Tribolium castaneum: one gene and its partner. The protein of the gene in region 1 interacts with the protein of each later gene in a biochemical or structural test. Links are inferred from orthologs where the notes say so. Each region holds a gene or a part of one and is shown on either strand. Other genes may lie near its edges. The genes, in order: PolI and PolH.

Region 1 (11,861 bases):
TTTTTATTGGTGTTTTTAATTTTTTTTCATGCTACAAACGGTAGCCAACGTGGAAGCGATATGAAGGTAGGTGTATTTTATTGCTGTGTCGTATTTATTTATTTCACAAACCAATAATTTCATAAAACTTAATTGCAATTAAAATCTTTAAATGCGGTGTTGAAAAGTGATATTTTGAGTGACACATTTTAAATACAGTAACTAAAAATAAAATCAAACACTCAAATAATTTATTGCCATGTAATAATTTTGTCTTTAATTTCAATGAATGAAAGTGGCTTGCTCAAAATTTAATGCAAATAAACTTTTTTTTTTGGTTTCATTATTATTATTATTATTTTTAATGCTACAAACGGTAGCCAACGTGGAAGCGATATGAAGGTAGGTGTATTTTATTGCTGTGTCGTATTTATTTATTTCACAAATCAATAATTTCATAAAACGTAATTGCAATTAAAATCTTTAAATGCGGTGTTGAAAAGTAATATTTTGAGTGACACTTTTTTAATACAGTAACTAAAAATAAAATCAAACACTCAAATAATTTATTGCCACGTAATAATTTTGTCTTTAATTTCAATGAATGAAAGTGGCTTGCTCAAAATTTAATGCAAATAAACATTTTTTTTTCAAAAAAACATTCCCTTCATTTTCAAATAATCATTGTTTACCACATCCTTATTTCCTTTTTTCCTGGCAAGAATGCTCTAAACCTCCACGTGGTTCTTGCTGGACAAATTAGTTATTATTTGACTGATCAGAGCAATCCTTAAATATTTAGGCCCGGTTTAAAGAAAGCTTGAATGATTGAGTTTGACTGATCGTATACACTCAAGGCTATAATTTTACTTGTAGTTAATCCCACACTCAATTTGATGGAGTTTCTTTAACAATTAAACGCTTTGCTTCTATGTATAATCCATAAATAAACTGCACCTTTGTGTGGTTTTATTGTATTCAATAAAATGGATTATGAAATAGATTTACAATTTACAACTTAGGTTTCACCTGTGTAGTACTCTATAAAACTTTGTACAACTAACATTTCTCGATTGGTATTTAATATTTATTTTAAAATTATTATAACATTACATATGTGACTTAAAAAAAAATAAGTATTCCAAAAAGGCGGAATTACACACGTAAAGTAGGTAAAAAACTTAAACATTTTAATAAATAGAGTACTCTTCTTATTTTTTTATTCTTAAGAATGTCATCAATTTTAGTTTTAAATCAAATTATGTAAAGCTGATTATAAAGATACTGTCAGATATCAATCTGCTCTGTTACATATCATAATAAGAGATCACACTACACTATGATTACTTACAAAAAAACCGATAATGGTATCAGCTTCATAATAGTACGAAATCTGCTCAGTCGTTGTTACCTCCTATATTAAATAATGATAATAAAACCATGGCGGAACGGGCAATAAATCAAAAAAAGGCCCAGTTTTTGAACACATTCGCCCCAAAAAGTGCCTCATTCGATGAATTAGTTAGAGATAAGCTAGAACCGGGCAAATTTCTCTTAACAAAAACAGGATGGACAAAAATACTGGCAATAGTAAGTAATACTTTACTCAAAAGGCTAACTCTATGTAGAAAATCCCAGATCGTGTGTTTAGCAGCTTTGGCCCTGTTTTTGGCGCAAAGCTGGGACCAGTGCTACGACAGACCCGACTGGTTCACTACCGTTTTTCCCGTCTGTGTCGGGTGTAATGTTGGAGTACAGTTTCTGTTTTATTTGATGTTCTCATGCGGGGGCACAGTGAAATATCCAGGAAAGTGGGTCACAGCTGTAGGTGCTTCTGTACTAATATTCACATTTTAACAGTTTGTCGCAGGACATAATTTTGAATCTAATATTTTCTCTTGTTGGAATTATTGGTTCGGTGATGACAGTGTCGACGACCATCGAATGTAGAGAAAATCCCACCATGCATAAAGTGCCAGGAGTAACCACATTTTTAAATTAAATTAAATTTTTATGCCGGCTTTAGTTTTTAGGAATTGTTGGCGGGGTTCTCTCGGTTGTGGGCTGCGCTGCAATATTTCTTATGTATCGATATGTGGAAGAAGAAGACGAGGGGCCAGTTCCCCAAACGCCGTTAGAACGAAATATAGATCTCAGAAAATCAATACATGCCTAAACGCAATGTCGCAAATTTTTAACACTATGTCTACATACAAAGTATTTGAGATTAATTTATTACAAACGTTTGTGAAAAGCAGAATCACAATAAAATTTATAGAAAAATATCCCAGCTTTCATTTCCCCTACTTAGTCTGTAACGTTCTGTTTGTTATGTTTGGACTATGTTATCATTTCACTAATATTTATCTCTAATATTTTAAGTGTTATCATTTCACAATTGACGTTCTTTTGTCGAGATAACAATAATTTTATTTCTGGTTCTTTGGATTAAAATGTGAAATTATTGATGCCATTTACTATTTAAACAAAGCCTAGGTCGTAACTAATATATGAAATAATTACAATATCAATATTATAAACACTAAAAGAATGGTGTTTTTCGAAAATTTAATGATGCAACCAATAATACACAAGTGCATGGGCAAAGTTGTGACACTACTTTAGAAGTGGTGGTATTACTGACAGTAGTACCAGTAAAATACCCATAAAATAGCACGCAAACGTAAGACCTCCAAGTAAATAAAAATTTTTGAACAAGTTTTTTAGATTTAGAAAAAATATGGACGCAAAATTTGTCTTTAAATGTGATGTAGCATCAAAGGAAATAAAGAATGATTGCACTCTGAATCCGACAGACGTCACAAAAGGTGAAGCCCCCTGGCTGTGGGCAAAAAACAACAAATACAGTTTAGAAAATGTGAATGATTACTGCAAAGTGGGCAAATGGATGTTGTTTTTACCAAAAGCAGATGTAAATGGGATATGGACTAAAATAAAAGAAGCTGTAAAAATTGGAGATCTTTGGGACGCAAAAGTTTCAACATCTGCAGATACTGAACCTCTTCACGCTGTAATAATTTTACACTAAGGACTACACCGACCTTGACGATGTAATTAGTGTTCTTGACTTTTTTGAAACGTCAGGCATAAAGCCTCAAGGTGAAGTCATCAGATACAAAACTGATAAGCAAACAGGCGCTGGCATTTACTCACGTTTCAACCAAAAGGCTTCAATTTACGACTCGAAAACAATCAGGCAATTGAAAAACAACAAGCGGATTACGGATTATTTTAAACCAATATAAATCTGTTGAAGATTATTTTTTATTGATGACTTATTATAAAACTGAATTTTTTATAATAATAAAATACAGATAATTTTAAAAATTGTGTATTTTTAACATCCTACCACCACGCGAAAATATACAATCTGGAATTTAGGAATGACTGGGTGGAAGAAAAAACCAATTTTTATTAAAACATATTTAATGAAAAAAATCTACAAAACCATCAGTTATTCCGGATAAAATAATTAAGCAACGTGTTGGGCTTGGTTTTCTTCACTTGACTGCTGCAAAAATTCATCTCACTGGCCCTCCTCCTCTTGTAATCCTCCCACAGCTCCTTTTGCACCTCCTTCGGCAGCTCCTTGAACACCTCCTTGTCGGCATCAGGGGGGCACGACACCGAATCCAAGCACAAATCCGCAACCTTCAACTTTGAGGGACTCTCGCAGTCTTCGTAATAGTCCTCAAAACAGCGCTTCTTCGACACGAGATTTGTCAACTTTAGTTTTTTCGGTGAGGGTGTGGGTGATTCCCCCTCCGTTGGTGCCAACTTCGAGGTTGAAGGGACGGGACTTTCGGCGTCTTCGACACCGTTCTGGTTCTCTATACTCAGCACTGACTGGACTTCAAGGTCCTTGCGCAGGAACGAAGCGAGCGTGTTTTTCGGGGGCTCCTGGAACTTCGTGAAAGAGAGGCCAAGTAATGTGATGTGGTAGGGTTTTTTGACGTCGATTATTCGGTTGAAAAGGTGCATGATCGTGGTCATGATTTTGGCTTCTTTGTTTGGTTGGTTTGAGGAGAAAATCGAGGGATTGACGTTGCATTGGCGCGTCTCTCGGTGGCTCATCTTGTTGTCTTTGTTGAACTTCCGGACTGTTAGTTTTATGGTTTTGGGGACACGCCCATCCTCTTCCACCAGAAGCAAGAGACGGTTTAACAACTGTTCTAATTTTATTTTCACTTCGGTTTCTACAGAAATTGACCTACAACTGTCTTCTAAACCAATGCTTTGGGGCTTCCCCGTCGGCTTGACCCCACTTTTATCGATACCCAAACTTAACTCATGAACTAACTTAGCTTTATCTTGCCCTAAAACGGTTTCAAGTCTCTTGAGATCAACATTTTGTAGCTCCTCAATTGTTTCAACCCCTATGCATTTTAATTGTTCAAACAACGCTCTGCCAATTCCCGGGATATCGTTCGGTGCGTTTAGGCTAAGAATCAATTCTAACGCACTATTTGGGAAAACAACAGTTTGTTGGTTTGGTTTGTGGCGCGCTCCTGCAATTTTTGCTAAAAGTTTGTTATGGGCGATTCCTGCACAGGACGTGAGGTTGAGTTCCGATTTAATAACGTCGCGGATTTCCTGAGCCACTGTTGTGGCAATGATCAGGCGCTCCGTGCAGCCACACTCACACTTATCACTTGTGTCTCCAAACACATTTCCCACAAGCTTGAGATCACTTTTTTGGTTCAATTTCTCGTTTATTAGCGTCGTCACGTCCAGATAATTCTCATCAAGACCTAGGCGTTCCACCAGAGGGGTGTACTTTTGCAACAGATTGGTTACTTTGTAGGAGGTCTGGCGATAGTCGTGTAAATCCTCGCCGTTGACTAGCACGAGGCTAGGGCACAGTTTTTTCGCCTCGGGGATTAACATGCACTTTTTTATGCCAAATTCACGGGCTGTGTAATTGCTAGTGACGACAATGTTTTTCTGCTGTATTCCTAGCGGGACCGTTCGGAGGCTGGGGTTTTTGTTCATTTCCACTTGCGCGTAAAAACAGTCCAAATCGATGTGAATTATAGTACGGGAATGGTCCATCTCAAAAGACATTGTTTTTAAATACTGATAAAAGAACTCTTGCAACTTTAGTGAGGTTATGTTTATTTCTACTGATTTGGCATTTGAGATGACTTGGCCAATCACAATGCACCAATTAGGCGGCTTATTCAAAAATTACAAGGCTACCAATCCCAAACTTAGCAAATAAAAACTTCTGAACAATTTCAACAATTAAGAAAAGTTTTATTTCACAACAGTCATCTCCATCGTAGTTTTTACCAATGTGATAGTATAAATTATAGGCAGGATAAAACTCGTTATCCTCGTACTTGACGATCACAACTCCGCCAGGCTTTTGGCACGGGTCGAACCCAAGCGGAGGCAAGTGCATATTTTCACCACCATCACAAACATTAGCAACTAACACATTGGCCATAATCATCACATTATGGTAAATATCGTCGGTAGAACACGAGGCATATTTTGCGTTTGGGAAGCTCACACCTTGGCCATACCTGTGGCCCTTATTGGTACCAAATAAGCGAAAATCGAAGTTATAACGGCAAATAGAGTCAACATTGACTCGTTAGTAATTAAATTCTCAATTTGCTGGTACTCATAATCTTTCGGGTGCAAATTTTGGCATCACACAATCTTTGACCCCAGCTTATCTACTTTGAGATTGGGGTTTGTAGCGGGCCTTTTGGGCTTGGGGGCCCAAATTTACGCAAATTTACCTTTGAAAATGGGCATTGGACCTGTTGTTCGTTGTTTCACAATCAAAAAACAGGGACACAGACACAGGGGTTATTGTTGCAGACGCATATAAAATTGCAATGCTGCCAACCCAATCAGTAAAAGATCACAGTTAATTTCAATTTTTTTAAAGAAATTGGCTTAATTTTCACTCAGAAAGTAAGCTCCCTTCCGGTATTTAGCAAATGATGTTTGAAAACGGGTACTAGGACCAGGGGCAACGGGTATTTTATTACTTTATCACACTTCAATGTTGGTCGCCCTGGTCATGAACTTCTTGATGACTAATACTTAATAGCGGTTAAATTAAATATCATAGAAAACAACAAATTATAATTAAATGTACCATAAACTGGACTATAACGATTAAAAATAAAACAGGCCTTCATCCAAAAATTTTAATAGGAATTAAACGTGGACATAAAATCAAAAGTGTATACAAAAAGCAACAAAGACAAGCAAAAACTACTTACAATTTTCGATAAATGTTACTGAGCCTATAACTAAATTTATAAAAGCAACGTAAGTGTCACATTTTCAAAGTAAATAATTTTATTCTTATCAAACTACTTCACAGCATTATTTCGTTTATCACAATAAACAAATTGCAATTGAAACTGGAATGCTTGCAATAATACTGCTGCGTATTTTGGAACATAAATAAGTTTCAACATTAAAACTATTGCTTTGGTTATATTACTAGAACGAAGTTAACAAACATCAGAAAAAACTTAAAAATGCCTGGTTTTAGCACCATCATAACGATCACCATAGTGATCATTTCTGTGATAACGATAGTCGTCATAACGATAGTTGTCATAGCGATGGTTGTCGTAGCGATAGTTACCATAACCAGGGCCATAACGATCCCGGTAATAGTTGTAATGAGTGTTATAACGTCTTCTCTCCACATGGTAACGATCATAACGATTTATGTAGTTACAATCATAACGATAATGATTGTTGTTTCTGTGTTTTTCACGCAAATGGTAATGGAGAATGTAATATGGGTAGAATTCATTATCCTCATACTTTACGATAACGCTCGCTCTTTGGTCCTTCTGGCTTGTGTCATAGCCTGGAGGCGGCAGCGACATGTCTTGGTCCCCTTGGCAGACGTTGCCTATCAGCACTTTGGCAACGATCATAATTTTGTGGTAACTGTGGGGGTCCGAGTAGTTGCTTGCGTATTTGGCGCTTGGGGAGAAATTCACCCCTTTTCCAAATTTGTGGCCCCTGTTACTCCCAAAGAGCCTCCAGTCGAAATTATAGGTGCAGATGCTTTCCACGTTCTCCCTTCTAGTCCCATGGAACAGCAGAGCTTCATTGACGTTCCCAAACGTGTGCTTTTTCTCACACTTTTTCATCTCATACGCGATATCGAGGACCGGATTGTTGACTTCAATGAGGTCTTCGATCATCAGTGACTTAATATCTATTAAATCTTTAATCTTTTTGAACGCCGGGTCGGTGTGTTGTATGGTCTTGTAAGTAACGGACGAGGCACCAAAGTGAAACTTGATTGTCTCGTAGTTGGGGTTCACTTTGGGGCGCTTAATTCGATGTCTAGGCGAAGGCGAAGCGCTATTGCCGTCGCTGAACTGCAAACCGTTGCAAAAATCGTCATATTCATCATCTTCTCGGGCCCTTTTCATTTTCGATTCTAGTGAATTTTAAATTTCTGTCAGTTACCTACTGTGTTTTAATAAAAATACACACCTCGAAGCTGCAAAGATGAAGCACTTAAACACTAAACTAGTAACAATTTGAACGAATCTATAAAACACAAAACTACAAAACTAACGGTTAAACTACAAAACTTTACTCAGTAATAAAATGTCTCCATTGCTAAGTTCAAAAGAAATTTTTTTGCACCAATCACAGTCAGCGATTTCGTAGCGCTAAATTTAAACAGGCGAATCGGCGTTCCAGATTTTTGCACTACAATGTGCAAGTGCAAGTAGAAAGGTGGGACCAAATTTGGCCAAGAATTTGAATGATTTATCAATTTATCATTGTTTTATTTCTGAAATTTGTTTACGAGCCGTGAGGCGACGAGTAAGGAACAAACGACTCCGTGAATAAGCTTCAGGCTAGTTGTTTGTGCCGTTTTTTATTTTAAAAATTTTAAATTGAAGTAATATGCAACCAACATTACGTACTTGCATAGGAGCGACTACTTGGTTCACTTTAACTACGATTTCTTTAAGAGACACCAATTGGAAGAGTACTACTTTAGCCTATTTTGAGTTAAATTATGCTTCACGAGTTGTTTCGTACACTTTACAGAGAATTTCAGACTGTTGGTGCTAAAATAAAAGAAATAATTACAAGTAAAGTCAATTTTAAACAAACGAAGTTTGATAAAAATCTAAATTAATTTTTAAAAATAAGCGGCCACATTCTAGCACACTGTTTTTACTGATGAAAAATGAAAATTTTCGACATTGATTAATTTCTGAAAGCTTCCCGCCAAAATTAATGTCAAATGTCAAAATTGAACTTAACCTGAAAAAATGAGTGCGTCTGTGTTTTTGTGTTCGAAAATAATTGAAATTTACATTTAACTTTGGCAATTGTTGTGTTATTATTGTAGTCAAACAATGGCGTTTCAAAATAATTTTAAGGAGTTCCTTAAAGGTTCAAATTGTTCAGTTTAATGTTTCCATTTTAAAATGTTCACTAGTCGCAGAGTCAGATCACGGGAAGGAATTTAGGGAGCTGCAAGAAGCGATTAACAGGTCGAAAGAAACAGCAAAAGAAGAGAAATTCAACCGAGAGTTTGACCGACAAACCGTGGACATAAGGAACTTTTATAAGAAAATCGAAAAGTCTGATGACGCAGTTGAAGTTTCGAAGGGAAACAGAGTCACGCGAACTCTGCGGTCTTCTCCAAAAAAACCCAATCTGCATAAAGGGTTTCTGCAAATCATTCACCACGACCCTGTCTTTTCCCTCCCAATTCCCACAAACCCCAAATTTAAGAAGTACTCCATCTCGCTGCGCAGAAAATTACTATCAGAGTCGTTTACACAGATTAATAAGTGCATCGCGAAATTAGCAAAAGAGTCTCTCATAAGGGCCCCTCTGCCTTCCCCCATTCATCCATCAAGCAATTACAAGCTGCCTGAAACCAGCAATGGAATCCCAAGCGGTGGCAGCTTTGATGACCTAGTGGATCAAATTCCAGTTGAAAATCTATACGTTAGCCGCTCAGGCCGCCAGGTTAAACGAAAAATTTACACAGAGCAGGAGGATGTAGACAGCGACCCTGACTTTGCCAGCATTGTAAAGAAAAACAAAGCGGAATTTGGAGACTCAAGTACAAAAATTACATTAGACCTTCCTTACGTTCCTGAAGAAGATCTCACTGAAGAAAAGACCCCTGCTACCTGCAAATCCACAAAGCCGAAAATACCACGAAAAAATTTATCCATAAGCGCCAAAAAGCCCACCAGCAGGTCTGAGGCGATGTTTGACAAGTTTATACAAGGTGAGGAGAAAAGGAAGCAGCAAGAAGCAGAAATGGAGAATTTTGAAAGAACGCTCCCATCTTTGGAGGACAACTCTGAAGACTACGTAATTGAGACGAGTCCAGTCAAAGATAACGAACAGAACTTTTTGAGGAGGAGGGTGCCTCCCCCAGTTCCGGGTAAAAAAAACAAGAGGCCGAAAAAAGCCAACAAACAAGAAGGTGCGGTTGTGTTACAAGTGGACAACGTTTAAAGCTGTTTTTCAGATCCTGACGCAATTACAGAAGTTGTTGCAGAAAGAGCGAGCGCAAACCTTCCGAAAAGTGCACCGAGAACCAGAACTCCCGCAAAAGTTGAAAAACCACCAGAAGAAAAAATTAGTTGTCCCATTTGTAACGCGGAATTCCCACAGAGTCAAATTGAGGTAACTGTTGGAATTTATTATTTATAATTATTTATCTAATTTCCAAAACTATCATCTTGTGCAAAGCTAGATATCATTGAAAGCTAATTTTTTTATAGGTATTTGTATTTTTTAAGAACGATATACAGGGTGTAAGATAATAATAATATAATTTATTTCCAACAGACTTATTAGTCTAACGTGGACAAGTAACAATACAATATACAAAAAAAGAGCATATTTGAGACAATTAAATTATACAAAACATTATAAATTACGAAGAAAAATATTCTAGAAGCTTGACCTTTACAGTTTTAGTTTTGAAATTATTGAAGAAAATATCTAAATCTATTGTAATATTATTATATAATTTAAAACATTTAAAAAGTGGAGAATTCAGATGAAAGGTATTATAGGTGGAAAAATAAAATGTAGGAGGATTTCGGTTGTTAGCTCTAGGTACTACAATGTTCACTTGATCCAGAAGATCAGAGCTGATAATATCACCACAAAAAAGCTTTTGCAGAAAAATAATACATAGAACATTTCTCCTACTTATTAAAGTGCTTTCATTTACTTTCTTAAAAGATGGGGACCACAGGGAATCGTAAATCCACATGTCAAAATAATTCTAAAAAATTATTATCCATATTTTTATATTTGAAGCTAAATTTGCTTTCTCATACCACACTTTACGCACAAAAACAAAAACATTTAAGGTGACTGGTAGTCTTTTTTTTCATCTGGTTTATTGGCACTCCTAAGATAATAATAATAATAATAATATTTGCGTTTTCGACAGGTTTAAATTCAAAATCGTTTCGTTTAAAAATACTGTGATGTTTGTGCTGTTACCTCCTGCATATTTTTACATTTTACTTCTTTAAAAATAAAAAATGATCTTTATTTTTTTTTATTATAAGGATAAGTTTATTTTTAATGCATAATTTATCGTTAAAATATGTGCACCACCTCCCGAGACATAAATATTATAAATAATAATATAAATAATTATTGTTTTTATTTTATTAAGAATCACGCCTCCACGTGTGGTATTGAAGACGACATTGTTGAAAATCTCGTTCCCACATCTGAGGCAAAAGCTTTGCAGTGCAACATCTGCAACAAGAATTTTCCTGCAAACTCCGAGTACGAGGTTCATGTGAGGCAGTGTATAGCGTCGGAAGTGTTAGACATGTGAAATGTGATATTGAACATTGTTACAAAAGTGTCATACTTAAGCCATTCAAATAAAATTAGTCATCTGGTCTAACTTTGCATCGGCTGAATTGAATTGAAACCGAGATGACTGTAAATATTTTGTGTTATCATACTTGTAGTTTATATTTATCTAACATTCTCCTAGAGTCAGTTATAAAGTTACTAGTGTTAAAATATTTTTGTATTACTCTAATGAATATTATGTTTTCTTATCTCGTTGAAAATATATCATTTTTATAAAACTACTCATCTTTTATCTCTACAAGTGGCACAGTAACTTACTGCGTCACCATGGTGTTAATTTGGACAAAGTTTTCTGTGTTAATATTGGCCGGTTTGGCCAATGGGGTGATTCGGCAAGGCCTCAACGGCCAATGGAAAGTGACAGGGGGGCCCAACGGTACGCCACTTAACCAATCAATCAATTCGATTCGAATTAATTATCCGTAGAAACTTTAACTATTGATGCCTATGTTCCCGGCGGCATATTTTCCGCCCTCATGGAAAGTGGCACAATTGGGGATATTTTCTACGGTACTGGGGACTCAAATTACAGTTGGGTGGGCCTAACCAACTGGACTTACAGCACAACATTCACAGGTTGTGCCCAAACCAATTAACCGTATTAACAACTTACAATTACAGTCAGCGAAGAATTGCTAAACAGTCGAGTTGTCTTAGTGGTTTTTGAGGGTTTGGACACATTTGCGACTGTTTCGGTCAATGGACACGAAGTGGGGACGAGCGAGAACATGTTTGTTCGCTACAATTTCAACATTAGAGACCAGCTTCAAGTAGATTTAATTTAAAAGCGTGCTTTTTTGTAATGAAAGTCATAGGTGGGTGCGAATGAAATTTCGGTTCAGTTCGCCTCTGCGGTCGCCACGGCCGAAGCCTTGGCCAAGGACCCAAGCAACGAATACGTAATCCCGCCCGAATGCCCTGTTCCCGAGTACAAAGGCATTTGCTACGTTAATCGTATCAGAAAACAGCAA
Region 2 (11,812 bases), on another chromosome or scaffold:
ACTAGCAAATTTTTGTGAATACAAAATTCGACGAATTTCTCCGAAAAATATTCTCACAGTAAAAACTCGCAGTGTATTTTATTATAGTATCTCAAAAACTAATTAATGGACGCAAAAGAATTAGCTGTTGCTGTTAAATACTTAATTTTTTCTCTACATGTGCGATTTTTTTCAAAATTTTTGCTACAAATCCCACTAAAAAAATTAGGGTTAATTTTTTTTTTTAAACAGCTGGTCCAGCACAGCTCCCGTCTTCTGTAGTTCAGTTATAGTTATAATTTAAGTTGTAGTATTGATATTGTAGAGATTATTTATACTCTGAGATACATTCCCGGAAATTATTTTTGATAATACAGAGTGTCCCAAAAAAGTATGACGTCAACATAATATTTTTTTAATGACATGCTATTTTTTGTGCTCATCAGAATGCCTTTCAAGCTTCTTACATGTCCCTAAAGGTTTTTTTTATCGATTCAAGAAATAAAAACCAAAAAAATCGGTTTTACACTTTTTGTATTAAAAATTAATAAAAATAAAAAAAATTAAATGACAACCCTTGTTCATTTTTATATCATTCGATGCAGAATTAAAACAGGATCATTTTTTCTTATCACAACCCTAACGGAAATCGTCACACATTCGGAGTTATTTGCCAAAAACTTGTTTTGTCAACTATTTTACTGACAAATTTAATCAATAAAAGTCGAAAATGGCTCAATATTGTTTAATTAACATTAATTTATTGTAACGACATTGAAAAGCCTACCTTTAGGAATAATTTATGCTTAAATTTATCAGCAGTTAATCTTAATTACAGTTTTGTAGATTTACCAAAGTACTACATGATTTTTTCAGTAGAAAAATTTACACTCTTTTTTAATTTATTGGTTTTGTGCCCAACATATGTTCGCTACGATTCATTACTTGAACACGCAGTGGTTTAATAGCATTTTGTAATGAAAAATTAAATCTTTTCACTTTTTATCCACTTTCAAATTCCAACAAAAACATTTTATAACCACGAAAAATCGCATAACCAAAGGCAACGCTAGTATTTACCACCACATACTTTTAAAGTGACTCTCTGTAATGTAAGAAATTAATTGCAAAATAATTCATGAAACGAGGAATTAAGAAAATTTCGTCACCAAAGGGCGTCTGGTTAATTTTGTTCCCCAATTGCAGGACATGCTCCCGGAGGACACGTGCCAGCTGGCCCACTTGATCGTGCGCTACGTCAAAGACTTCCGCCTGCTCGACAGCCTGCCGTACAGGCGCTCAGAGGGCTACACTGTGAACAGCTTCGTGGGGACGATCCCCAGCACGCAGCCGACGCAGTCCAACATCGACAAGACTCTCTTGCAGAAGATGACGCTCCTGGTGCTGAAGAGCGTGGCCATCACCATCAAGGAGACGCGCTCGGACAGCTCGGACTCCAGCGTGGGGTCGGAGGACTACGACTTCTCGCACGACATGCAGCTGATCGCGCGCTCGATCCGCGACGTGCTCAAGAAGGTGGACGTCTTCATCAAGCTCAGCTTGGAGTTTCACCCCGAAACGCCCTTCTCGAAAATACTCATCCATTTGTTTAGCGATCAAGACGATTACATGATCGAGGCCATGGTTTGTACGCTGGATATTAAGACGGGGATCTCGTACCAGAACGCGTTGGCGCCCGATTTTATCGCGATGCTGAATCCGGTCCACTCGTTTATCGAGTTTTTGAAAATTGTTAGTCATGATTCGGACGTACTATTAGATTATTTAGTCAGTAATGAGACGTGTTTCTTGTTGTATCTGTTGCGGTTCTTGAAGTATACGAGGAGGAATTGGGATGTTTTTGTAAATAGTTGTTACGAGGGCGGAGCGTCGAGGACCAATGAGCTTGATAATACAATGACGGTTTTGATAAGACTTAAAATGCAGATTGATCGACTCGTGTCGAAGGATCTTTTTCCTTATAATATTAACCCCATTTTAAGACTGCTTGAGATTTGCGAGAATCTTTACGAAGGCAACGAGTACAGCTGATAGCTTTAATTTTTATTCGGTTTTTTTATGTGTATATAGTTGAAAGTTTCCGTGATATAGTACAAAACCCTCCCATTTCTTCTAATTTATTTTTTTATACATTTTTCAAACAGGACAGACAACATGTCCAGTTACCACGTATTTTGCATAATTGGCGATTGTGTTTTTGATGAAAAATTTCATTCAACGCATGATAAATATTATTAATTAAAATGAAACGATCGCACAGATAACGAAAGCAAATAGTTTCAAAATAATTAAACTAATGAAATGTTTTAATTGGGGAAATTTCGCAACTGGGCCAATTATAATTATGAAATTGTTAGTGTTACCCAAAAAACATGTGTCCCTAATCTTACAGATGACAAAAAATCACAAAAGCCACTGTTTTTTTAATAACTACCATATTTTTTCTAATTAACTAGCGTAAAACAATTTAATGCTAGTTGCAAAACAGTCACTTTATAATTGGTTTTCTCTTTTAATTTCTGGGTTTTCTTGAGATTCAATTTGTCACTAGGGTCCAATCTAACAGAGAATCACACGAAAATACAGCAAGTTTAAGGTTGATAAAAATAGTTATTAATGACACAGTTAAAGATTAGATCTCTCATTGAAATTGTAAATAAAATTAGCTATTGATTTTTTTCAAGTGATTAAATAATTTATAACAACTAATTTTGAGAGAAAAAGCGACGTTGACATTTCCATAATTTTGAAACAGCTAGTTTGAGTTCAAAGTTACCAATAGTCCCATAATAAGGAAATTCGGCCAAAAATTTTAGTCGAATAGACAAGAGAGTATTAAATAATTCCAATTTATTGCTTCACTTTTATTCAGTTTACAGCTGCTAATACAATAAAATTAATTTAAAAAAAAATCTAGTTTTGTTTGTTTTCTTGGAAAGACGATTTACAAAATAACGCAAATTCATCTTTTAGACCAAAATTAGGTATTTGTGTACGAAATTGCCATGTTGCCAGAGTGTCAATTGAAAAAGTCCCGAGATATATCCGTAGTTTTACCAGCGACATATTGTATTTCCAAATTTTCCATTTGCATTTATTGAGCAAAAAACTCGTTTGTTTTTATGTACATATTTAGGAAAAAAGTATGAATCACTAGGAAATTCCTGAAACGTTATCTTGAACAAACACTCAACGTTACATATTTGCATTTCTTATTTTGCACCCATGAATTATTTGTTTTGGATGATAAAACCTTATTTTTGTTAGGGCATATGTTAATAAATCAATGTTTATCAGCATTAAAAATTCAATGACCCTTTGGACAAGTTGTGGAATTTAATTTTCTTCCCCCGAGTGTCAATATATCGGACAAAATACGTCTACACTGGACATGTCGAACGATGGAAGTAAAAAAAAACACAAATTAAAAAATTCAACTTCGGTTCGGTTTTCCCAGACTGATAAGTCGTTCATAGTCTAAGAGTGCGTTTGTATTATCTAACACTTGTTAAAATAGAATTGAAAAGTCTGTAATTAACTTATTTCCTTTATTTATTCTTTCGAATAGGTTTATGTAACAAATGTAAATTGTAGTTACCTTATTTAAGTTTTAACAGTGTAACTAATCGCCCACTTACAATTTGCAATATTAAGAGTAAGTCGCCTTGTATTATTTTCCATAGTTCAAATTATATGCGCCGTGATGAGAACTTGTGCCCATAATAATGTAAAAAACAAGATGTAATAATTTAATGACTTTATTATTTAATTTCTAACTTATATAAATAAAAGTAACGATTGGCAGGCTCATGAGGTCCTTCAGAGGAGTTAAAAAAGTAGTTGTATGTATATAAGGTATTGATTATAATACTTTAATATTTTTAAAATTGTACATAATGTACTAATGTATTTTTTTACCCAATACAAAACGTTTTAATAACAACTGTATATTTCACTGTTAGGTCATCGGAAAAGTCGTCAGGTAGGTAGTTACGTTTACTTGATACAAATGAACTGATAAATCGGTGATAAATATAGAACAATCTAATTATCATAATCTTCATCAATACACAGAGTGTCTTCAGTGTTCTGATTGTAATAATGGTGTGAAATAGGTATAAGAGGCGGGATATTGTCGCAGTTGACTGGCGGCGTATTTTCTTGGACACTATTAGCGGGCCCCCTTGTTGGTACTAAAGGGGGCACAGGTACGGGTTCCGCCACCGAAATGCGCACTTTGGGTCCTTCCTTCGCCGGCTCGATCAAATTATTAACTGAGAAATTGAACTTTTTCGTCTCTACTTGCGCTACTTTAGGTCCATACTGGATAACTGGTGTTCTAGCCGTGGACGTACTCTGCTCTGTGTAAAAATTCGCCGTTACTTCCGGCTTCGAAGCCTCCACTGCTGCCGCAGGCTCCTGTTTTGACTCGGCCTCCTGCAGCTGTTGCGCTTCGAACATCAGGTTGTTTTTGTTATCTTCTTGTGCACTTGCATCAGGGATATTTTTCACTAAGTCTTTTAAAAAGTCGAAACGACTCTCGGATAATATACATTGCTTCATGTGGGACGGAGTTAAAGTCTTGGCGTTGCGGGACTGCGTTATTTGCATTGACTTCGTCAGCAGCGACTCCACAAACAACTCCAGCGTTCGGGGTAAGCAGCGTTAAGGAAATATTACTAAAGTGAAACCTCAGACTTGTTTTCATTTTACGATCACCACTGAGCTGATAAAATTATATCTGTATTTTTTATTGCAATAGTGGCTACGATAAGAGAGTCAAAAAAAAAATACTTTTGTGAAGCCCTAACAGTGCGTGCGAGACAAACGCAATTAACTGCTTTGCACAAACGTGAAACACTCGCTTAAATTAAATAATAAACAGTCAAATAATTAAAAGGATATAGATTATAACTGGTACAGCTTGTGCCACTTTTCCAACCTCTTCATCAGTCTGCATTATTTTTTTAATACGGCCCTGAAAATCCCCCAATTAAATAAGGAATTTCCAAAATTTGGAACGACTTACTGCTGGAAATCTGGCATTGTATTTTTTCTTTTTTGAAGGCATATCTAAAAATCTTTGATTTCGTTTCAATTTGTCAACAATCACTTTCTGAAAAATGACAGTTTGAGGTTATATGTTGTTAGGGATTTTTTGCACACTTGTCAAAATAATTGTCACTTGTCATTTTTTCCTGAAATGGTGGGAAACAAAAAATGAAAATAATTTCACAATTTCTTGAATAAATAAGTAATTCAACCGTTCATTCCACTTGCAATTACTTATTCAATTGTTAAGATCAAGATTGGGACAGTTTTTAATTTGTTGTGTGGAATGGGGCCCACGGACCGTGTTGTGGTTCTGGTGGACATGGATTGTTTCTATTGCCAGGTTGAGGAGAAGTTGAACCCGGCCTTGGAGGGCAAACCGATCGCCGTGGTCCAATATAATGCATGGCAAGGGGGCGGGTAAGTGGGCATTAAACTTTGGTCTCAACTTGTTTCTCTCAGCATTATAGCTGTTAATTATCCGGCTCGTGACGAGGGGGTTACGAGACACATGAGGGGCTTTGAGGCTAAGAAGAAGTGCCCGAGTATTAATTTGGTGCAGGTTCCAGAACTAAGAGGAAAAGCTGACTTAACCAAGTAAGTGGTGTCACATGCTTTTGTAACCAGGTTTGTGAAAAAATTGTTATTTTTAAGTGACACACAACCACAAAAAATAAAACCTTATGCTACTAAATGCTTATTTTTATTAATACTTTTTAGTATTATGAAAATTACATTATTAATTATAAGTGGTTTATATTAAAAAAAATTGTAGATATCGAGATGCGGGAAAAAGGGTTGCGGATGTTTTGCTGACTTTTACACCTCTGCTTCAACGTGCTTCAGTTGACGAGGCCTACCTTGATATCACGGAAATTGTAGAAAAACGGATTGAAAAAGGCCTGGATGATTTAACTTTAATTAATCTAAGTAACACTTTTGTTGTGGGTTGCGAACTGGAAGATTTTCTTCATAATGCTATTACTAACAAGGAATATTCCATTCCCAATTTAAAACTGGCAGTTGGAGGTCTTGTGACTGAAGAAATTCGACGCGAAGTTTTCAAAGTTACTGGTATTAAGTTACTGTACCAAATTTTTGATTTTATTTATTGATGATTTAGGATACAAGTGTTCTGCAGGCATTGCTCACAATAAAATCTTGGCAAAACTAGTCTGCAGCTTGCACAAGCCCAACAAACAAACCATTCTGCCCCAGGAAGAGGTTGAGAAATTTTTTGAAACCACCCCAATTAATAAAGTGAAGAATTTGGGGGGGAAATTCGGGCAGACTCTCTCGGAGGATTTTCACGTTACAACAATGGGCCAATTAGCCAAAATTCCAGAGAAGCTTTTGGTGCAAAAATATGACGAAAAAACTGGGTATCTATGACGCAAAAATGTCTAATTTAAACTTAAAACTTAAACTAAACAATATTTTAGCAACTGGTTACATAATATTGCCCGAGGTATTGATATGGAACCTGTCACTACAAAATTAATCGCAAAATCCATCGCTTGTTGCAAAAATTTCCCGGGAAAAACTGCGCTTGTAACGGAGGAAAACGTGCAACACTGGCTGGGGAAACTAGCGGCGGAAATGTCGGAACGGCTGGATAAAGACTTGAAGGAAAATAACCGAAGAGCCAAGCAAATTATTGTGAGCTTTGCACAGGAAGTGAACAAGAAGGACGTTCACAGCACGAGGACACATCCCTTGGTGTCGTACAACGAACAGAAAATAGCTCAGGCGGCTTTTGAAGTGGTTAAGAGGTTTTGTCGCAAGTCTGACGGCACTTACCATTTGAAGTTTTTGGGGCTGAATGCTTCCAGTTTTGACGATATTAAGAACGTTCGGCAAATCACTTCCTTTTTCCAAGTTGGACCAAACCAACCAAAAAAATCGCTGGAGAAAAAACCGGAAGTTGGAGAGCAGAGCGTTTACGACCAACCAACGCAAGAGTTAGAGGAGGACAGCAGTAACCTGATCTTTTACGACGATTCATACCGAGTTAGAGATAATAATGAAAATGAACTGGAAAGTACAGAGTGTTCAAATATCGAAAATGTTGAAGAGCTGGACAGACCCACGTCTTCGTTTTTTGTCAAGTTTTTCGATAATGATAGCAATGAAAACGAGCAGGAAGAACAAGACAACATTGAAGAAAATAATGACTCTGAAATGAGCGTTGAAGAAGAAACTGAACTGTGTAGCGAATGCAAAAAGAGAATACCAATCTCTGAATTAATGTCTCATCAAGATTATCACTTTGCATTAAACCTCTCACGAAGTGAAAACGTTCCTCCCAATTCAAACGTTAAGACTCCTCCAGTCGTTAAAAAATCTCTCGATTCTATGAAAAAAACTCGAAAACGGAAAGAAATTGATTGTGGTAATAATAGCATAAGGACATTTTTTGCAAAGCAGGAAGAACCAACAGGTCCTACGGAGACGTGCACAGAGTGCAATAGAAAAATCAAAGTTGAGGAAATGACCAGTCACATGGATTACCACACGGCTAAAAAAATCCATTTAGAATTAAATGCCATTAAAACGGTTAAACCTGTGACCAAACAGTCAAAGGCAAAATCAGGGAAAACCAAAAATCAAAGTGCTAATAAAAGTGTTGTTTCGTTTTTTAAGCCGTTAGGGTAATTTTTTACTTGATTTCAAGTGGAAAGACGAAATTTTTGGCGAGATGCGAGATTATTTCAGTTGATTTGAAAGTCAGCATCACCAACATCATTTTGAAGTCATAGAAGTGTGCAACAATTTTATCATTGTGTTTAGTTATGAATTATTGAATTTTAACAATGAATAAGCTTTGTATAAAATTATTGTAAAACGTAGTATTTATTTTTATTAATTGTATACCTTCTATGTGACGTGTTAATTTCAAATTTTAATAAAAAAATCTAATGTTGAATTCTTTGTTTTCTTTAAACTTCCCTCAATCTTTAAATTTTAACTTATTGAATACTGGTGAGTAGTTTTCTGTATTAACTTGCATTTTTGTTTGTGGCGTCATCTCGGTACCAAGTGCTTAAGTAAAACCTTACAGGAATCTACGAAACTTGCAGTGCCATCTATGCATGGTACTCCTAAAGAGTCGATTAGGCTTACTGCAATTTTTACCAACATTAAAAAAAATGATAAAAATTCAGTTATCAATTTCAAAAAACGAATAAAAATTTTATCAAGTGCGATTTACAAAATGCGAAATATCTCCGTTCCTGTAGGAGATAGAGGGGTGGTTCTGCCCTTTTGAAAACCCTACCGCCCCGTAGTCCTTTTTCTGGGCTATCGAATAGGCAAGGTCCCGTTCCCGTATCTCCCTCAGGAACCGAGATAGCATTGCACATTTTTAAATCGGGAATCGAAGTACATGACGTAATAGTGCTTCAAACGTTATGTATGCATGCAAAATTTCAAGTTGTTACGACAAGAGGAAGTGCCTCAAATTTCAGTTCAAAATTTTATAATTTCGAAAGACAACAAACAAAGCAAGTTGAATAAAAACTTTAATAAAAAACTTCAGTTTTTTTGTTAAAAGTCTTTATTAATGCGATTTATTTGGAAACATATTTTGCGAGTTAATTTTGGGGCACTTCCTGTTGTCGTAGCAACTTCAAATTTTGCATGCACACGTAACTTTTGGAGCACTATTACGTCATGTACTGCGATTCTCGATTTAAAAATGTACAGTGTTATCTCGGTTCCTGAGGGAGAAACGGGAACGGGACCTAGCCTATTCGATAGCCCAGGAAAAATACTACGGGGCGCTGGGGTTTTCAAAAGGGCAGAACTACCCCTCTATCTCCTACAGGAACGGAGATATTTCTCATTTTGTGAATTGCAGATTTTCTTCAATTTTTACAAAAATTTTTAAGAGTGCGAGAAAATTTTTGTTGGAGTGAAACAATTTCGCAAAATTTAGAAATGGATTTCGTATCAGGATCATAGGAACGCAAAGAGGTCAAGAAATTTTTAGCGGCGTTTGCATGCAACCAGTTATACACATACGTGTATTTTGAGTTATATATTTTTTTTCATTACCCTTTTGCATTCCTGTGATCCTGATACGAAATCCATTTTTAAAATTTTGCAGATTTTCACCCAAAATTTCTTTCACTTATCAAAATTTTTATAAAAATTGAACAAAATCTGCGATTCACAAAATGCGAAATATCTCCGTTCCTGTTGGAAATAGAGGGGTGGTTCTGCCCTTTTAAAACCCCTACCGCCCCGTAGTATTTTTCCCGGGCTATCGAATAGGCTAGGTCCCGTTCCCGTATCTCCCTCAGGAACCGAGATAGCACTGCACATTTTTAAATCGGGAATCGAAGTACATGACGTAATAGTGCTTCAAAAGTTATGTAAGCATGCAAAATTTCAAGTCGCTACGACAACAGAAAGTGTCCCATATTTAAGTTCAAAATATTAATAAATCCGAAAGGCAAGAGAAGACACTTTTCTTTAATTTTTACAGGTTATTATTAACTAAAGCTTAGATTAAAAATAAATAGATGGCGCTAAATTTACAGGTTACTTTATATTTTAGCTTTAATTTAAAGCGTATAGATGGCAATTAAAACATTACAGATTACTGTAGCATTGTACTTTTACATCCAACATATAGATGGCAACACTAACAATTTTAATTTACTTTTGGCTTTATTGCATAGATGGCGCATTTAATTTTTACCTTTTTTTGAATTTACTAGCTTTAGGAAGTGAGTTCTTCAGTTCTAGAAACTGTTTTGGATGAAAATGGAAATACTATAAAATCAAACTTCAATATCGATTCAGTACTTTTATTAAATATTTAAATACATTAGCAATCTTTCAAGTGTTAGTGCTAGTTTCAAATAACTGCAAATAATGATACAGCACAATTTTTAATAGTGATTCCTGCCTCCCCTGTTGTAATTCGAGTGTCCTCTGCCTCTCCCTCTGTAATTCCCCCTCCCGTGATACTGCTGATTATGCTGTTCCTCTTGCACATACTGATCAGCATAAGTCGTTCTATTTTGTTGAAAGGAATCGTAAGTTTTCGGCCTTTTCGAATTTTGTTCATAGCTCGTGGAGTAACTACCTGCACTATCAAAATTCCTATTATCGTAACTACTTTTATTATCGTTATAACTGCCTTGGCCGCCGCCGTAACTCCCCTGTCTCTCGTTATTATAACCAGGGTTGTTATAACCACCACCGTAACTTCCAGCACTGTCATAACTGCGCCCCTGGTTATAATTGTCGTAACCGCGACCGCCGCTTTTATAATTATCATAACCACCTTGATTACCAGAGTAACTTCCACCGTAACTCCCCGAATCTCTTGAATAGTTCTGTCTGTTGTCGTTACGGGAAAAGTTACCGCCGCCTCTTCCTCGACCGCCCCCCGAGGGCCCCGGCGTGCGCTGCTGCCAAGAGGGCATCTCCGGAGGGGGCGGCGCTTGCTCAGAGGTTCGGCCTCCACGATCAGGAACCTAAAAGTTTTCTTTGGTGTTTTTTTCTTAAACAAAATCATGGTTTTACCTGTCCAATAATGACTTTATTTAGTGACGATTTTGTGTTTTTGCGCACAGACGAGTTACTTGTCTTTTCGATAATTGCAATGTCGTCTCGTGCGGCTAATAAATCAGCAAGTTCAACTTCCGGTTCCGTTTTCAGGCGTTTCCGCTTTTCGGTGTAAACTTTTTCAAATAACTCATCTTTGCCTTTCGTTTTATCAGACCACTGCAACAACAATTGAATATGAAACTTATGTATAGATTGCAAATGAAATTTGTTTTGAAGTAATAAATAAGAATGGAACAAATGTTAAAATTAGTGCCCACCTGAAAAGACTGAATCGTAACATCCAGCCTTGTTAGCAACATCTCTCTTCTAATTTTATATTCATTGTTCAAATCCTTCTGAACCCCATTTAGTGTTTCCCACTGCTTATCAGAAAGTGTTCCTTGAAACGCAGGCTTTCCAACTAATTCACTTCCAACTTTTTGAACAATACTTTGCACAGTTGGGCAAACTTTTTGGAATAACTGTGGAATAGTAATGTTTGGGGGCGGTTTATGAAACCTCAGAGTCATTAATATCTTCCTCATATTGGCAGCTTCTTCAGTCTCTTGCTGCAAAACTTTATCAACAATTTGAAAATTGCGTTTCGTTTTACTTACCAGTTTTAGCTCAAATTTTTTATCGGGCTTTTTCTCTTGTAGTACTCTTGCGGCCATCAGTTCAGTAGCCAAATAGTCTAAAAGTAATAATTTGTCTTGGTGACTTTCCAGACGGTCTGAAATATGGCCCTGTGTTAAGGCAACGTAGGGGCAGTCTGTAACCATTAAATGTGAAAAAATTGGCAAAATACAACAAAACCACCGCACTCAATTCTTTCAGAAAAGAACTAACTTCCATAACAAACGATACTGAATCTTCAGGGCCTGATATTGGATTGACTTCCTCATCGATATTAAGCAATGCGCGTAGCTCGTTTGTTAAAAAACTGACTAGCTTGGTGAATTCCACGTTTTTTGCTCCCTCCTGCAGGGCAGAATCAAAACTAGCCTTCTCGAGAAGGGGGCCACAATAACTGCAATGCAAGTTAGACCTGGAAATTTTTGGTTGGGAAATAATTACCCCAGGTCCTTCAGTCCGTCTAAGAGTTTCTGTTCCATTGTATTAATTAATACTATGTCTTACTTTTGCACTAATATAGAGATTGAAGCCGGTTATTGAATTTCTAACCAATTTGCGAAAA

The links.
Region 2: the proteins of PolI (region 1) and PolH interact in far-western blotting, tested with the Homo sapiens proteins (2 studies listed by BioGRID). The link is inferred for Tribolium castaneum from reciprocal best matches to the Homo sapiens genes POLI and POLH.

What each region holds. Positions count from the first base shown.
Region 1 is NC_087396.1:11,982,484-11,994,344, forward strand, and holds PolI (DNA polymerase iota), read right to left. Parts: upstream 5,730-11,861; 5' UTR 5,065-5,729; coding exon 3,451-5,064; 3' UTR 3,409-3,450; downstream 1-3,408. Other genes in the region: uncharacterized protein LOC103313667, read left to right, coding at 1,420-1,569, 1,618-1,803, 1,850-1,960, 2,006-2,155; protein mono-ADP-ribosyltransferase PARP11, read right to left, coding at 6,501-7,424; uncharacterized protein LOC103313669, read left to right, coding at 8,373-8,409, 8,456-9,463, 9,509-9,666, 10,679-10,846; beta-mannosidase, read left to right, coding at 11,158-11,266, 11,317-11,466, 11,512-11,660, 11,706-11,861. UniProt on the Homo sapiens protein: Error-prone DNA polymerase specifically involved in DNA repair. Plays an important role in translesion synthesis, where the normal high-fidelity DNA polymerases cannot proceed and DNA synthesis stalls. Favors Hoogsteen base-pairing in the active site.
Region 2 is NC_087394.1:32,790,064-32,801,875, forward strand, and holds PolH (DNA polymerase eta), read left to right. Parts: upstream 1-5,337; 5' UTR 5,338-5,338; coding exon 5,339-5,472; intron 5,473-5,514; coding exon 5,515-5,649; intron 5,650-5,827; coding exon 5,828-6,126; intron 6,127-6,175; coding exon 6,176-6,434; intron 6,435-6,494; coding exon 6,495-7,707; 3' UTR 7,708-7,978; downstream 7,979-11,812. Other genes in the region: lin (protein lines), read left to right, coding at 1,186-2,031; uncharacterized protein NC2alpha, read right to left, coding at 4,045-4,655, 4,906-4,978, 5,030-5,071; protein FAM98A, read right to left, coding at 9,951-10,541, 10,591-10,791, 10,893-11,386, 11,439-11,644, 11,692-11,729. UniProt on the Homo sapiens protein: DNA polymerase specifically involved in the DNA repair by translesion synthesis (TLS). Due to low processivity on both damaged and normal DNA, cooperates with the heterotetrameric (REV3L, REV7, POLD2 and POLD3) POLZ complex for complete bypass of DNA lesions.